Linked DNA regions of Lytechinus pictus. The protein of the gene in region 1 purifies or fractionates together with the protein of each later gene. This does not show direct contact. Links are inferred from orthologs where the notes say so. Each region holds a gene or a part of one and is shown on either strand. Other genes may lie near its edges. The genes, in order: F-box/LRR-repeat protein 12-like and serine/threonine/tyrosine-interacting protein B-like.

Region 1 (7,850 bases):
GCAAGGACATTACCATCATAGGTAGGTGATTCTGAGAAAGGGCTGTTATCAGGCATGGTGCTTACATCAAGTTCTTCCAGCTGCTTCAGTGGTGATAGATGGTGTAAATCAAAGAGGACATTCTCACTATTGGTGCACTGATGAAGTCTAAGGATTCTTAACTGTGTCAGGTTACGACCAATCTTCTGGAGGGTCTCATTGTTCTGAGGCAACTTGCTTAGGTCTAACTCCTTCAGGTTGGGAAAGTTGTCTGTGATGCGACTTGTCCCTCGTGGTGTGATGCGATAGCAGTTCCTTAACTTCAGAACAAGAACAGATGTCATAGGAGCAGGTGTAATGGATTCTAAGTCTCGATTACCAAAACCATTAGAGCAAGTCATGTCCAGATGCTGTAGCGAATCAAGTTTAGACTGTTTAAATGCCGCAGTAAGCCAAAACGTGGGATAGTTGCATGATATCAACTTCAGAGTCTGCAACTTTGGTGGCAGGTTGGTTGAGCTTGCCTTCAATAAATCAGCCCCTCTGATGCAGAGTTCTTGCAACTTTGGGCAGCGGTTTCCAAGTTCTTGAAGCAAAGAGTCTGAGATACACTCTGTATTCTTGACTGATGAGAGGAAGCCACCGAGACTGAGGCTACGTAGGGAATCACTGAAGTAAGCAAAGACTAGCTTACGAATGTTGACCAGACTGATCTTGTAAGGTGAAAGATCCACTACTCTCCACAGTGGTTTTTGTCTTACCAGATGGTTCCACCCTCTACAAACACTGCATGAATACAACAAACAAAAGTTCTCATGAAAAGGTCAAGTCTACCTCAACAAAATTTGAATACAAAGAAAACAATTAAATGGAAAAGTGAATTTGAGTAACTTACTTTCAGAAAATATCAATAAGCATGTAACTCACACTTATGGTATACGAATTTGATACATATGGTCGATGATGTCGCACACACACATTATTTCTCTGTAAATTTGTTATATGAATTTGTAAATGAGGAAGCTCTTCATCGAATGCACATGTACAGTAATGGCACTTCCACAGGCTCAGGGAAGAATCGAACTTTATTTCAAATTACATTAACAAGTGAATTCAAATTATTTTTAAAATTACGAAAGAAATGGTGAGTAGATGACATTGTCAGACTACCCCTTTTCATTTTATTCTTTCTTGTTTTCTGTACAGGCATTTCACTGATATATCTTTAGTTTTCACAAACCATCCAAGAGGGTTTCAGTAAACACAAACAAATGTTGAGGTAAACATGATCAAAGTTTAACTTTTTTATGTGACTTTTAAAAAAAAACTAATTTGTGATACCAGAGAAGTATGACTGTTTAATACAAACATTTTATAAGATTTCTGTTGTTGCTGTTTTGGATTCTAAGGTGCTTACCATGTTCAAGTGTGAATATTTATGAACATAAATATATTCTTGTTCTAACACTTTTTTAAACAGATATTTGGTTCATAGGTTTAGTCAATCTGTGTGTCTTATGGGGCGTTGCAAGAAACTTGCAATCAGTTGCAAGTCTATTTTTGTTCCCAAAATCAAGCATATGCCGTGCAATTAATTGTAAATTTGCAATTGATTGCTAATCTGCTCAAAACAAGGAGTGTAATCTGATTTGATATAGTTAAAAGTGATTAATCGATTGTAAAATTGCAACAGAATATTTGTGATTGATTGCAAATATTTTCTTGCAACACCCCCCTTAGAATACTTTTTGAAAACGATGTCAGTTTAACAATCATGATAAGGGCAATTCCATAGGTTGGTGGACACGAGCTCAATGTGTCTTTGTACATATAGCCTATCTGAACCGTAACATGAGTAACCACTTTATCTGCACCCCTAGTAAAAACCACGTGTTCTTTATTTTTTAATTATATACAAATTTGTCTCCCTAATATACTTCTTTGAAATGGATATAATCAACTTTCATAAAGCCTTGCATGAGGACACTTTTCACTTATGTCCACTTTTCATTTTATGCATGTCCAATTCATGTAACATGAGTAACCGACACATTTCAAAGATTTGCCAGGAGCATAATGAAATTTCCCAAGTTTTGTTTTTATACAAAGGATAGTCAGACTGCGTACTCTGTTGTGATAAAGAGATGTTTAGTTCCTATCAATAATAATGGAGTTACAGCTCTCAAGTATGAGTCAAGGTGTCTCCAAATGTAACGTGAGTAACCGTGGAATAGCCGATAAGATGTCTTACCAGGCAGCTCTGCAGAGATCCTTTACAGATAGATATCCGAGTATCTGTAGCATAACACTATCAGGCATGGATCTTACTGGACATTCCCCCATCTCACTATCAATTGCACTTGATAGGTGATCAGCAACCTTCTGGGGTGTTAACACATCAGAATCAACCTGACAACAAAAAGTAGTCATCAATAATAACTATCAAATAATTTTACTATTATAGTGGAGAAAATAAGTTTATAATTTCATTCATGTTTATTCAGCTCTGCTCTTTATGCGCTTTTAAGTTTTTCATACAAAACTAGATAGGCTCTTGAGCTGCACTAGTATGCACTTGATCAAAATCTATGTTTCTGTTATTGCCAGAAAGTTAGTACTGCACACTTAACTTCTAAACTAACATGCAGTACTTGTACAATCAGATCAACACTCTCATAATACATGGATCAAGTATAATTTTTATTTATCTATTGGATCTTTATATTATATTATTGTGAGAATGAAACATGGTCTTCAAGACCCATCTCTGATCCCCAAATCTGATCAGATTACAGCCACTGATATACCAGCTTATGGAGTCGAACTCCATAAATGGTAGCTACAAAATGCAAAATATATTTTGTTTCAAAATTAAACGGAATAGGGGTACTTTGAAGATGAAACCATTTTGCTCTGATATAAAGTTCATTTCAATATTAGAGTTCAATTTTGACACAAATCCATCAAAATATAACAAAAGTTATGAATTTTCAGAGTTACAAAGTATTAGAGTTTTGATGAATTGTAATGTCGTGTTTGAGCAGCTGTCCAGTATCCTTGTCCCAAATGCATGTAGGCCTTAGTATTTTTAACTTAAATTAATTTATATTTGATAATGATTCATCCATACTCACACACACATCACCCAGATCCAAGACGGCATTCACATCAAGAGAATTTGCTGCTGAATTGCAAGGTGTCTTGGTGGTTCTTAGAGCCTTATTCATTAACGCATCCTCTTTATCTTTGGACCGAGGCATTTTGAAATCTGCAATGAAATCCACAGAATGTTTATTTGTAAAAGGGGAAACTGTATACACTGACAAAAAGTTAGTTTAAAAAATACTAGAAAAAATATACAGTGAAGGTTTGAGGAATATCCAGTATCAATCTTTTGATACTGAAGGTACAATAAAAGCCACTTCCAAGTTTTTTTAGAAAATGACATTTCATTGATTTTTTTTAAATAACCACATGACATATGGGAAAGCTGCTTGGAAATGACATCACAAATCAAAATATAAATATGTGGGCGCGTCGGCAGGAAGTAATTCCTCAAAAAAGCTGTGCGTACCAGAATCGGTAGACTAGCTTAGGCGGGATAATATAGGAGCGCCTTGAGCACCTAGCAAGGTGGATACGTGCGCTATACAACTCCTATATTATTTATTATTATATTATTATTTAAACTAATTCTAACAACTTTTTTTAAATGGCAGAAAAAAAGATGCTGAAAACTGCTTTTCTAATAAGAGAGCCAACATTTGGAGTAAATTAGAGTCAAAAGGGGCCTAAGCTTTTGATCCTAGCAGAATCTTCGTCGGAGGCAAAATGACAAACATATAAAGTGGAACAACCATAATATAGACCATAGAAATGCAACAGCAACACTAGAAACAAGGAGACAAAAAGGGCATTAATTAGAGAGTTGTGATGACCAATCAGGTTAGAGAAGGGGATGAAAGCAAAGGAGTAGGCAGACACGAAGGGAAGTTAGTGTAAGGCCAGTAAAAGACCTTAATAAGCTATGATGGATTAAGATAATTGGGCAGGCAACATCAAACAGGATCTGGAACAAAACAGTGATAGGGGGTATGAGGAATAGATGAATAACAAGAGAATTAGTGAGAGGTGGGTCAAACAGGTTACAAAGAAAGGCAAAATAAACTGGGGTGGTATTCTGAAAATGTTCTTATCTTTGTTCTTATCTTTTATCTTATCTCATTGAGATATAAGAAGACGCTAAAATCATTGCAAATCGGTATTCTGAAAATCTTCTTAACGCGTTCTTATCTCTGTAAGGACTGCCTCCTTCTTATCTTCAACACGCCCATTTTTAGGATATTACCAATCAAAATGCGCTTTATATTGTCAGTTTAACCAATAGAAGCGTTCCTTATGTCAAGAGAATATCATGGGCACTGCGCGAACACTGTTTCTGGCGCATTGCGCGAAATAGGCATTTTATACGCAATGACTGATTATTATTTCGAGACACGTGCACAATAACGAAAGAAAGAAAGAAAGAAAGGGAGCGAGGGAGGGAGGAAGGAAGGAAGGAAGGAAGGAAGAAAGAAAGGAAGTAAAGAAAAAAAGTAAATAAAGCAGGTACGAATAAAGAATAAAACAGGAAGAAAGAAAGTAGGAAAGAAAGGAGACAGAAAAGGGTCAGAACGAAGCAGAAATTTTAAAAAAAATGAAAGGAACAATTGAAAGCAGAAAATAATGAAAGAGTAAACGAAAGAAAGCAAGCAAAAAGAACTTAAATGAAGAAAAGGAAAGAAAGAAACTTAAAGGAAAAAACGAAAAAGGACCAAAAAAAGATTAAAAGGATAAAATGAAGGAATAAAAAACTGAAAAAACAGAAAAAACGAGTGAAAGAAAAAAAAGAAAGAGAAAAAGAAGGAACAAAAAAATGTAAAAGGTGAAGGAAAAGAGAAAAAAGGAAAATGAATTGAAAGAGAAATTAAAGCAAAAATAAAGACTAAAGAAAGAAATCGAAAGAAAGGCTAATTCAAAGAAAGAAAGAAATAGAACGAAAAAGGAAAATAAAAAAGGAAGAAAGATGAAGAATAAATTAAACAAAGTAAAATAAGAATAAGGAAGAGATTAAAAAATTCAAAAGAATAAAGCAAAAGATATAAATGAAGAATGAAAGATAGACAGATATAAAGGAAGAAAAATTGAAAATAGATAAAGAAAGACAAAAGGATAGAAAAAAAGGTGAAAAACAAAATAAAGGGTGGATAAAAGAAAGGATGGAAAGAACACATGTTATTACCAGTGGCCACCTTTTTTTAGCAAGAAAGAACGCGAACATCGTGAGATGTGATAACCCTCTAGCTATCTTAAATATTATCATAAATATCGTAAAAGATAAGAACGTTTTCAGAATACCACTTATCTTTATTTTGTTCTTATCTTTTTAGCGCGCTTTTGTATTATGCGCGTGTAACAAATTTACGTGCTCAGCATAGGATGGAAAGCAAGATAAGAAAAAGATAAGAACAAAAGATAAGAAAAAGATAAGAACGTTTTCAGAATACCAATTTGAGAACGTGACGTAGATAAGAACAAAATTAAGATAAGAACGTTTTCAGAATACCGCCCCTGGTGCATAAGAGTGGGGAATAAAGGGGAAAGAATGGGGAACAACTGATATTGTGCAAAAGACATTTAAGTATATATTATAAAGCAAAAAAAAAATATATATATATATGGTGTAACTAGTATTGTAAATCCGCTAGGCCTAGGGGCGAGGGGAAAAAACCCCATTAATACTAATAGAAATAATTAAGACATGAAAATGAAAAAGGAGAATATGGCCTAAAAGGGTAGAGTAAATATAGAAGCTGAGGATGTATGAGAGAGGGGGGATGTATCTGAAGAAACTATACTAGTATGATGGGGGGACCTAAAGCTACGCACTTTGTTTACAAACGATAAAAACTGTGCCAATTTTAATATTCAAACAAATGATCTTTCACTGATTTGTGGCAAACATTCTAAAGATCATAAATCAAGAAGAAAATATCACAATACTCACAAATACGAAAATCCCGCCGTGTTTTCCGAACACCTCTTAATTTCGCTGCACGATGTAGAACTAGAAGGGGTCCTAAAGCTACGCACTCGATTTATCATGCAGAAAAATAGTATTTCCTTTACTGCGGCAGCCCGAACACGTACTGTGTTCGGGCTGCGTTGTGATTCACCCCGGCTCACCAGATCAAACCAGATGAGCATCGGGAATCAATCAAAAATACATAAAATTGCACAAAACTGTTACAAAGGAATCAATACATACTTACAACTTAAGGCGCAATATGGGCGGCCCTCAAAACTTCGAAATAATTCCCCAAAACGAAGCAAAAACGTCGGAAAATTTTGCCGGTGTGCATTAAAAGTCGTTTGTACAGGAAGCAATGGAGGATCGATATAGCCTTTTGACGAGGCAACGAGATAAATTGATTTTTATCTTCGTGCTAGCAGAAAACAAAAACAAAAGAAAAATAATAGCCTAATCCTTATAAAAACAAAAAATAAAATAATAATCGATTATAATACGTTTATAATACGCTCTTCCTATTAATTTCACCCTGTTTATTCACTGAGAATCCTATAGAAATATACTAGAAGTCTTTGACAAAAGGCTATCGTATGAGGCATGCGAGAAAGGGTAATATGAATATTCATAAGTCTAACTTAGTGGCGTAATTTCTTTTTCGATGGTTTGGCTGCGTGGCAGCCAGTGAATAAATCACTATTTTAACGGCCTTTTGTTTTTATTCGATTAGCTTCTTTTCATGTAATTTTTTTCTTCATTCTTTTCTCGTGTTCTAATATTATTTCTTAGTTCTCCCTCGTGATTTCTTTTCACTTTCTTTATTTTTTATCCCCTTTTCCGTTTTGTTTTTATTATTTTCATATTTTGTTCATCTACTTTTCGTTTCGTAGTTGATTTTCTTTTCCTTTCTTTACTGTTTCATTCTTTTCTTTTTGACTTTTGCTCTTTTTTCTTCGTTTCTTGTCTTTTCTTTTCTTTTCCCTTTCGTTTTCTTTTTTATTCTTTTTTTCTTTACTTTTCTACCTATTGTCTCTATATTTAAATTAGTTTCTTTATCATCTTTTTTTTTTTCGAGAGAGATTATGCACGTGGAGTCGCACATTTTTTTTAATATGCATAATTGAAAACAATTGATACACCTTGTGAGTAAAAGGATAATTTGATAGCCTATTTTATGTGGTTTGTATTGACGCTTGAAATGATGAAGCCTATTCTTTGCAAATAATTTATTTCCTTGTATTATATTAAGAAGTACTAGTAATTTGATATCATTTCATGTTTGTATTTGAGTATTATTCTATTGTTGTAAATTGTTGTAAATTGTTGTAAATTGTTGTAAATTGTTGTACAAAATAATTATTCAGCCTTTGGCTGCGAGGCATGTTTTTAACAAACCATTATTGAATTGATTTTAGCCATACATATGGCTGCTATTTTTTCAAGCATTCAGCTTACGGTAGCTGGTCTCTGCATTTGAATTCATTTGTTATTGTTTACATGAATTATGTCTATATCTTCTTATAACCATAGGCGGCGGAAGTGGGGGCGGGGGGAGTATCCCCCCTAAATTTTAGGTGGGGTTACGAACCCCCTAAATTTTTTGTTGATAACCTTTTTTTTTTTGCTTCAATTTTTTTTGCTTGTCATTTTTTTTTGCTTTTCAAAAAAATGTGGTGCCCCCTAAAATTGTTGGCTTCCACCGCCAACTACATTGTCACCGTTGTAATTTGATCATTATGTATATTTGATTTTAAAGATAAATTCCAGTTTTGGTAACGATCTAAAAATGACTTTTTACAGAATC
Region 2 (8,385 bases), on another chromosome or scaffold:
TGACCTTTTTACCTTTCCCTGACCTTGTCTTGACCCTTTATATCTTCTGGATAAGGACTTCTGACTATGAACTTATCAAAATCGAAAATAAAAAAGTATACACATGCAAAAAAAGAAGGGAAAAAAATGAAGGATAGCTTTCTTAACACCTTCAGTGTACCATTTACCGAAAGTTTGTTGACCTTTTGACATTTCCGGTCATAATTTTCTAACGGGAGGTCAAGAGTATATGATTGTGTACACTTTTTTGTTCAGTATAACCAGACAAACAATTCGATGTATGGCTCGACACAATCGGGGCAATTTTAAAAACTGACCCCTATTGACCACATTTTGACCCCTCACATGGTCAAGATGACCATTAGAAATTTGTCACCAAGTTGAAAGTTGTTCCTTGTGATGTCACCGATGACATAAAAGTGAAAAATCAGACTTAGCCAATTTGTCGAAGTAGCCGGTAAATCATGACATATGCTGCCTGACTATTACCATGGACCTATTACGAATGGACATTCAACGAGAGCATTTTATGACCACCACCTGTTTCCAGCTGTCAAAACTGCTGTCTAACCCTTAACTTTCTCTTTACGCGGTTTTTACGACGACCGCCCGGGGCGATTGTTTACACAAGCTCCTTTCGGCCGATGATCGTCACCGATCGACAGCTGGCCCTCTTTCGACCAAAGACGGTCATGTTGTAGCCCCGATTGCCAATAGGGAAAGTCCCTACATTACCAAGAATGCAATGCGCAATTCATATCCGGTTTTTCAGTACATTATGTTAGGCTGTCTGTAATGTGGGATTGTCGTCTGTCCATCAAAAAAAATCCCGTTAAATTTCATCAATCCTGTGGAATTTTATGCCCAAATGAAAATCAACTTCTGACCGAAGGTAAGTGCTACTATCGACATCAATACTGTCCGAAAAAGATGAAATTTTAACGTTTTTCCGCAGATTTTTTCGTCAAATTTCAACTGCTTTTTTGCCGTAGATATACGGATCTGCAAGGTGATGTCAATGCATTTCATTTCCGGTTGTTAGCGATGTACGTAAAAAATATGTTTATGCACGCCTGTTTTCTTGTTTCTGCTATCATTTTCATAGCGCTTACGTTCGCTGCTGTGCGTTGCTTTTGATAAAGTGAACGAACAACATCGCAATGGGTAGGAGCAGCGTACAATTGATTTCCGCTGTCCATCAGTGAGAGCGTGTTTTACGACCGGCTTGATGGGTGTCAGCTGCCAGCGCTCTGTTTATAAAAGGATTAGCGGCGACGGTCTTTGGGTCAAAGGAGGGGATTCGTTGAATGTCCATTCGTAATAGGTCCATGCTATTACGAATCCATCACAATCATTACAAATGAGATAAGTTCATTAAAGAAAAGATTATGGAAAGTCCATACGAAGAGGCGCATTTTAAATCGTTGGGTAGGCCCGTTTCGGCCCCTATGTCATGTTAAAGCAATAATGTAGTCTCTACTCCTTAACTTTGAAATGTTTAACATATATATTTTTTATATTCTTAAACCTTATATTCTAATATAAACTTCCATAAATAATAAGTGATCAACTTTAAATATGAAAAACGTTTATGATCGTTGTCATTTTTGTCTCACCTGCATAGCAGAGTGAGACTATAGGCGCCGCTTTTCCGACGGCGGCGGCGACGGCGACGGCGGCGGCGACGGCGGCGGCGGCGTCAACACCAAATCTTAACCTGAGGTTAAGTTTTTGAAATGACAGCATAACTTAGAAAGTATATGGACCTAGTTCATGAAACTTGGCCATAAGGTTAATCAAGTATTACTGAACATCCTGCCTGAGTTTCATGTCACATGACCAAGGTCAAAGGTCATTTAGGGTCAATGAACTTAGACCATGTTGGGGGAATCAACATCAAAATCTTAACCTAAGGTTAAGTTTTTGAAATGTCATCATAAATTAGAAAATATATGGACCTAGTTCATGAAACTTATACATAAGGTTAATCAAGTATCACTGAACATCCTGCATCAGTTTCACGACACATGACCAAGGTCTAAGGTCATTTAGGGTCAATGAACTTTGGCCGAATTGGGGGTATCTGTTGAATTACCATCATAACTTTGAAAGTTTATGGATCTGATTCATGAAACTTGTACATAATAGTAATCAAGTATTACTGAACATCCTGTGCAAGTTTCAGGTCACATGATCAAGGTCAAAGGTCATTTAGGGTCAATGAACTTTGGCCAAATTGGGGTATTTGTTGAATTACAGCCATAAATTTGAAAGTGTGTTGGTCTAGTTCATAAAACTTGGACATAAGAGTAATCAAGTATCACTGAACATCCTGTGCGAGTTTCAGGTCACATGATCAAGGTCAAAGGTCATGTAAGGTCAAAGAACTTTGGCCACGTTGGGGGTATTTGTTGAATTGCCATCATATCTCTATAAGTGTATTGGTCTAATTCATAAAACGTGGAAATACGAGTAACCAAGTATCACTGAACATCTTGTGCGAGTTATAGTAGTTTTCAAAATCAGCACTGCTGCTATATTGAATCGCGTGATGCAGGTGAGACGGCCAGAGGCATTCCACTTGTTAGCACTATTTCTGTAAATAGTATTTTTTCCATTGCGGATTAATTGATTTACACCCTTTAATTATTATTGCAAAGCACTACTTTATCCACTTGGACATGTTTGCAGCAATTTTCATATTTTCCTTGTCTTCGGTAACTCATCATGTAACTGAGGTTTGTTTATACTCTAAACACTCACATTTGTATTTCTTGCATTATACCTGACAAATAAAATAAATGAATTAGATTTTTCACGCGCAGCCTCTCATATTTTCCTTTTTAGTCTCATACAATCAGACACTGTTGATTTTGTTTACTCCATTCAAACTCTATTTTTACCTCAACAAATAACATATTAACACATAATTTGCAAAATTGTCATTACATATAATATTTCTATAAAAATACAGAATATTGAACTAATAAAATGTCGAAATTACTTAATTAAATCAATTTTTATGACGGACAAGGGTCTCTTTCGTTGAAATATCAATGAAAGGTGTCTCTAAATGGACACCGTGTTCTAAATTTCGATTTTATCCAGTTATGCTTGTGAATCTTGAATTTTTTTTCTCTTTTTACCTCATAAAGTACGCTCCATACATCAATTCTACAATCAGTAATAAATAAAATTAAAACATTATTTGATCCCCTTTTATTGAAATATATTATTTTATGAAAAGTCGTCATTCCGAAATAAAAGGTTCAGCCTTCAGGTGACGATGAAGACTAAATATTTTTCCGATACTATCAATATCAAACGATGTCGCAGACTTGAAAGACAAAATTGCCTTCGTGAAACGGAAAGCGTTGATTTGTCGCCAATCTTCATGATCTTCCTATCTCGGAAGAATGGTCCTAGGACGTTCCTACGTATCGCTCATCTCGTCATGCAACAGGCCCCTCGACTCTGCGTATGATTATACGCAGTTGTTGTGTGTCCGGACAGGTTGTGTGTCCGGACGATCAATTTTAGAAAGTCATTTGGAAAAAATTACAAGCAAAGTTTCATCAATTTTTAGTACAAAATGTTAGAAAATATTATAGAGAACAAAATAGAAGATGATTACAACTATTGAATTCATATTTTTAGTGTAATCTTAAGACAAAAAAGAAGGCTTCAACAATATAAAGTGTCCGGACACCCGACCCCCCATCCTACTATGAAGTCTTGGCGGAGGTGACCAAGGAGTACGGTAGCACTCACACGTATTGCGAGGTTCACTATATTAGTATTCGTCACCAAGGAGCTGACGAATGGGACTTATTTAATGCCAAACGGACAATCAACTCGACCTACGAGACACGGCACACTCGTACTCATTTCCTTTATAGTCCCACATGTAGACTTCCATGGTGTTGCCATGAAAATCTACATATGGGACTACAATATTTACCGAGTTTAAATTCAAATTAGAGTCAGGAAAGAGGTGAATATTCTTCATTTTTGTGATAGTTTTCAACTAAATCAAAATAATTTCAAGTAATTATGGAAAATAGATGGCCATTTCGGTGCCAGCTATACATCTTAAAAGATAGTGAAAGTATGGAGATAAGCACCTACATACATGTATGTACAAAAAAATAAGGTTGAAAAAACAATGTTAGTAATTCAAAAAGTTAGCTAGAATTTCTCTTTTTTATTTCTCAAACAAAATCAGAGCCTAAATTATTTCCTGACATATGTTTAAAAATATTTATTCACTCACTGCAATATTACAATGTATTTTCCATAAAATGATTTGATTTGATTGCATCTGATTGACTCTATACACACGTACTGGCAGCTATTTGCATACTCATTAATATTCATCAGTCACATGACCATGGTTTTGAAGATTTTGTTCACAAAATTCAACATTTTTGCACTGAACCAACTTTTTTAAAAATGAATCTAACAAAACACAACTTCCAAAGATTACTCTTACAGATCAAACTGTGACATGATGAATTTTCAGATCTAAAGGTAAAAAAAAAGTGAAATTCAAGTCACTTTTTCACACTTTGTAACTGTTTTTTACAGGGACATATGTAAGTACAAAAGACACGTCAGCAAGGGGGTTTGAGGAGCATAATTTTGCACAAGTTTTGCACTATTTTTGCTTCTGGAATGCTGTAAAAATGGTTTATACATTTTCTGATCGCGTATTCAACAACCCACAAAATGTCGGGACCCCTGCAATTTGCGAGAAATTCTGTACGCGAATATAACAGCTTATACAGTATCTATCTATTGTGTACAAAAGTGGAATGATGATTTGGGAAAAATTTTCATCCCAGTCATCCTCTTCCAAGCCCCCTCGTAGAAGCCCCAAACATGTAGTTTAACCTTTATTCTCCTTTAATTATGCTTACCATACGTACTCTAAACTACATAGAGTGCATTCCTCAAACATGTCAAAAAAGGAAGTAACCACGCGCAGTTAATATTCTTAAGTTCAGCATACACAAATAATTTACGGTATTTCATTTACATATATTCATAAAGTTAGCTTTCCTCCTTGATTTTGATACCAAAGATGATGTGAGTTGTTCACTCATAGATGAGCAAGAAGAGTTTGAAAATTCAAATCAGAATTAAGTTGCGCAGAAAAATGGATCAAGATTTGTTAAGGATACGATGACCTTGCATAAGAGAGGTATGGTTCATTAGCATACATTCCTATTAATTTCTTTCACTTATCTTAAGTGAGAGTAGATGCAGATTTAGATTTGTGTTTTTCATTTCATTCTTAATATTAATGTTAATTTTATGATTGAAACATATTCAATGATTTTGATATCTAGCTAAAGATGAACAACCTTTTTGTGGGGTGAAATGTACAATTTGTATTCTATACTACATTTGGTCTACATCATCATGGCCCATAGCAAAAGAAAAATAATGGAAATTTTGATATCTGCATTCTTTTATGTGTTATGTATCATTAACAAGTCTGTATTGTACGAAAAGGTCTCTATATTCTCTAAAGTTATCTTTATTATTATTTCAGGACTGGGTGTACACAAGGAGAAGGGAGATGCAGGTAACTGATCTTAAGAATTTGATTTTAATTTAATAATTAAATTTGTATTTTATGTGTTCAATATTCATTTTGGGGAATATCAGTTTTCAGACCAAAAAGACACCAACAGAATGGTGGGAAAATCTTACATGACTCAACCCCATTTCAGGCTGTGTTTGTTTGTATATTTATCATCATTTTATATTGATAAATTGCAATGTATAAGGAATAATATCTGTAGATGACAATGGACCCTTTTTTCTGATTTTGAAGGAAATACTCCCTGGGTTGTATTTAGGACCATATGCTGCAGCTCAAAGAAGCAAGGTAAGAATATATGCTTTAGGTCTTACTTAATGCTGCACTCTATTTTTTAATCATATAAAGTCCATACTTAACCCCAAAAAAATAATTACTCTCTGTTCATGAGAAGATTAAAGATATTTATTGGTATAAAACCATCTTAATAATTCATTAGATAAATTCTATGGTACTCAAGAGAGTAGACAAAATTGATTAAATAATCATTTACATCACTTGAAGACTACTTTAACATTTTGGGATTAGAGGTTCTTAAACTGTTCATGATTAAATGGTGCTTTGCATAATATATTCACTGTTAATGCACTTGAATTAAGAAAATATTTGAATTGGCTTACTTTGAATTGCAACATTTTTTTTTCAATAATTGATTTTTTAATAATTGATCTCTTCTTATGACAGATTTCTTATTTTCCTTCCCCTAGTTACCTGTTCTGTTAGAGCATGGTATTACCCATGTCCTTTGTATAAGACAGGCACCGGAGGCAACCATCATTAAACCAAACTTTCCTGACAGATTTCAGTAAGTAAACACACAACTTTAAGGTTTGATTCTTTGTATCATGGAGTGATTTGTATTATAATAGAAATAATATGAGACATTACAGCTATGTTGAAAACTATTATGTAAACTGTCTATTTGATAATCATATTGTGTGTTATAAAACTTTATAGGAAGGTGAAAATACTGACTTTGTGTGATTGCAGTTTACAATTTGCTTACATCGTTCTGCTTGTTATACAAAGTTTTTCTTATATTTACAGGTACTTAGTCCTCGATGTAGCAGACAATGCATTGGAAAATATCATCAGACATATACCTACAGTAAGATATATCCTCACTCTACAGTGCATATAAAAAAAAAACGGGACAGTTTTGAAAAGTCTATCAAAATTTTGTTTCAAATTATGATGTCTATATTTTGTTGTTTATAGATGATCTGAAATCTTATCTTTCAAATGCCATTGAAAAATATCAGTTTCGTTCATGCTTGAGCGAACATGGAACACTTTTTTGAGGGGTTAAAAAAAAGGCTTGCACCAAACAGTAGAAAATGAGAAAATACTGATCATCAGACTTCTTGCTAATCAGCAAACTTCCTTTCAATCTTTTCATTATCTCTGCCATAATTTTCGAATTATGGTGTCAAAATCCATTTACAAATCTATTCATTTACTTAAATTATTTTGTTGGTGTTTTTTAAATATGATATCTTTTAGCATTGAATTTTTTCATGAGTAAAAGCAAAAAATTGTCAACCCAAGTAAGGGGATAATGGGATAGCTTGTAATTTTATCATATCCTTTTATTGTGGGCTGCAAAGGTTTTGGTACCTTTGAAAGACATGAATCCTTCTGTTAGAATTAATATTGTCCTGTCAAGCACACAATTTGACTTGTTCAAGGAATCAATGTCCCCTTGGCAATAGGATTCATGTCTTTCAAATGCACCATAACCTTTGTTGCACATAATAAAAGGATATGAATAAATTACAAGCTCTTCAATTAATAATGGATATCTCCTTGCTTAGGTTAACAATTTTTTTTCTTTAGCTAATATGAAAGAATATTCAATGCTAAAAGATAACATATTTAAATGAAACAAGGTGGTTTGCGAATCATAAGTCTCGCCTGATTTCGCGATAATTAAAATATGCAATATAATCTTTTGACCCCTAGACGACCTTTGACCCCATCATCCTCATAAATACACATGTAGTATTACCCAAGGATCATTATGTACCAAGTATGAACATGATTGATGCAGAAATAAAGAAATCAGAGCAAGTTGAACAAAAAAAACTTCAAAAAAGGATGGACATGACCACATATCATTTGACGTTTTGACCCCTAGACGACCTTCGACCTCATGTCCTCATGGACAGATATGTAAAATTATCCAATGATAATATTTACCAACTATGAACATAATTGATGTAGAAATAAAGAATTGAGAGCAAATTGAATAAAAACTAGCAAGAAGTCTGATGATCAATATTTTCTGGCATTTGGCGCAAGCCTTTTTTTTTAACCCCTCACAAAAACGTCTTGTGTTCGCTCAAGCATGAACGAAACTATTTTAAAAAAAAGCATTAGAAAGATAAGACATCAGAGCATCTATTAACATCAAAATATAGACATCATAATTTGAAACTAAATTTTGATAGACTTTTCTAAACTGTCCCGTATTTTTTTTATGCACTGTATATACACTATAATACAAAGTCAATTTGTAATCAAATATTACACCTTTGACTTGTAACAATAATAATATAATGTAGGTTTATACTCAAAGTAAAATGTGTCATTTTCTGTAAGGAGTTGTACAATATATATAGATACTTGCATAATATCTTGAGTCATTTTATTTCTTCAGATGATCATGCAGACTGCCTAATACCTCTTTCATAGGGAGCTCTTCCCTGTTGAACTAAAGTGGGCAAGGTAGTGAAACAGTGGTAAAAGGTTCAGTTTGAAAGGAATATCTTCCTCAC

Evidence for each region.
Region 2: the proteins of F-box/LRR-repeat protein 12-like (region 1) and serine/threonine/tyrosine-interacting protein B-like purify together in Homo sapiens (affinity purification with mass spectrometry; 4 studies listed by BioGRID and IntAct, with this or other methods). This does not show direct contact. The link is inferred for Lytechinus pictus from reciprocal best matches to the Homo sapiens genes FBXL12 and STYX.

The regions. Positions count from the first base shown.
Region 1 is NC_087255.1:1,788,509-1,796,358, forward strand, and holds the start of F-box/LRR-repeat protein 12-like, read right to left. Parts: upstream 3,296-7,850; 5' UTR 3,240-3,295; coding exon 3,114-3,239; intron 2,389-3,113; coding exon 2,231-2,388; intron 766-2,230; coding exon 1-765. UniProt on the Homo sapiens protein: Substrate-recognition component of the SCF (SKP1-CUL1-F-box protein)-type E3 ubiquitin ligase complex.
Region 2 is NC_087251.1:3,756,032-3,764,416, forward strand, and holds the start of serine/threonine/tyrosine-interacting protein B-like, read left to right. Parts: upstream 1-5,171; 5' UTR 5,172-5,203; intron 5,204-5,557; 5' UTR 5,558-5,584; coding exon 5,585-5,590; intron 5,591-5,842; coding exon 5,843-5,896; intron 5,897-6,315; coding exon 6,316-6,413; intron 6,414-6,655; coding exon 6,656-6,716; intron 6,717-8,385. UniProt on the Homo sapiens protein: Catalytically inactive phosphatase. Acts as a nuclear anchor for MAPK1/MAPK3 (ERK1/ERK2). Modulates cell-fate decisions and cell migration by spatiotemporal regulation of MAPK1/MAPK3 (ERK1/ERK2).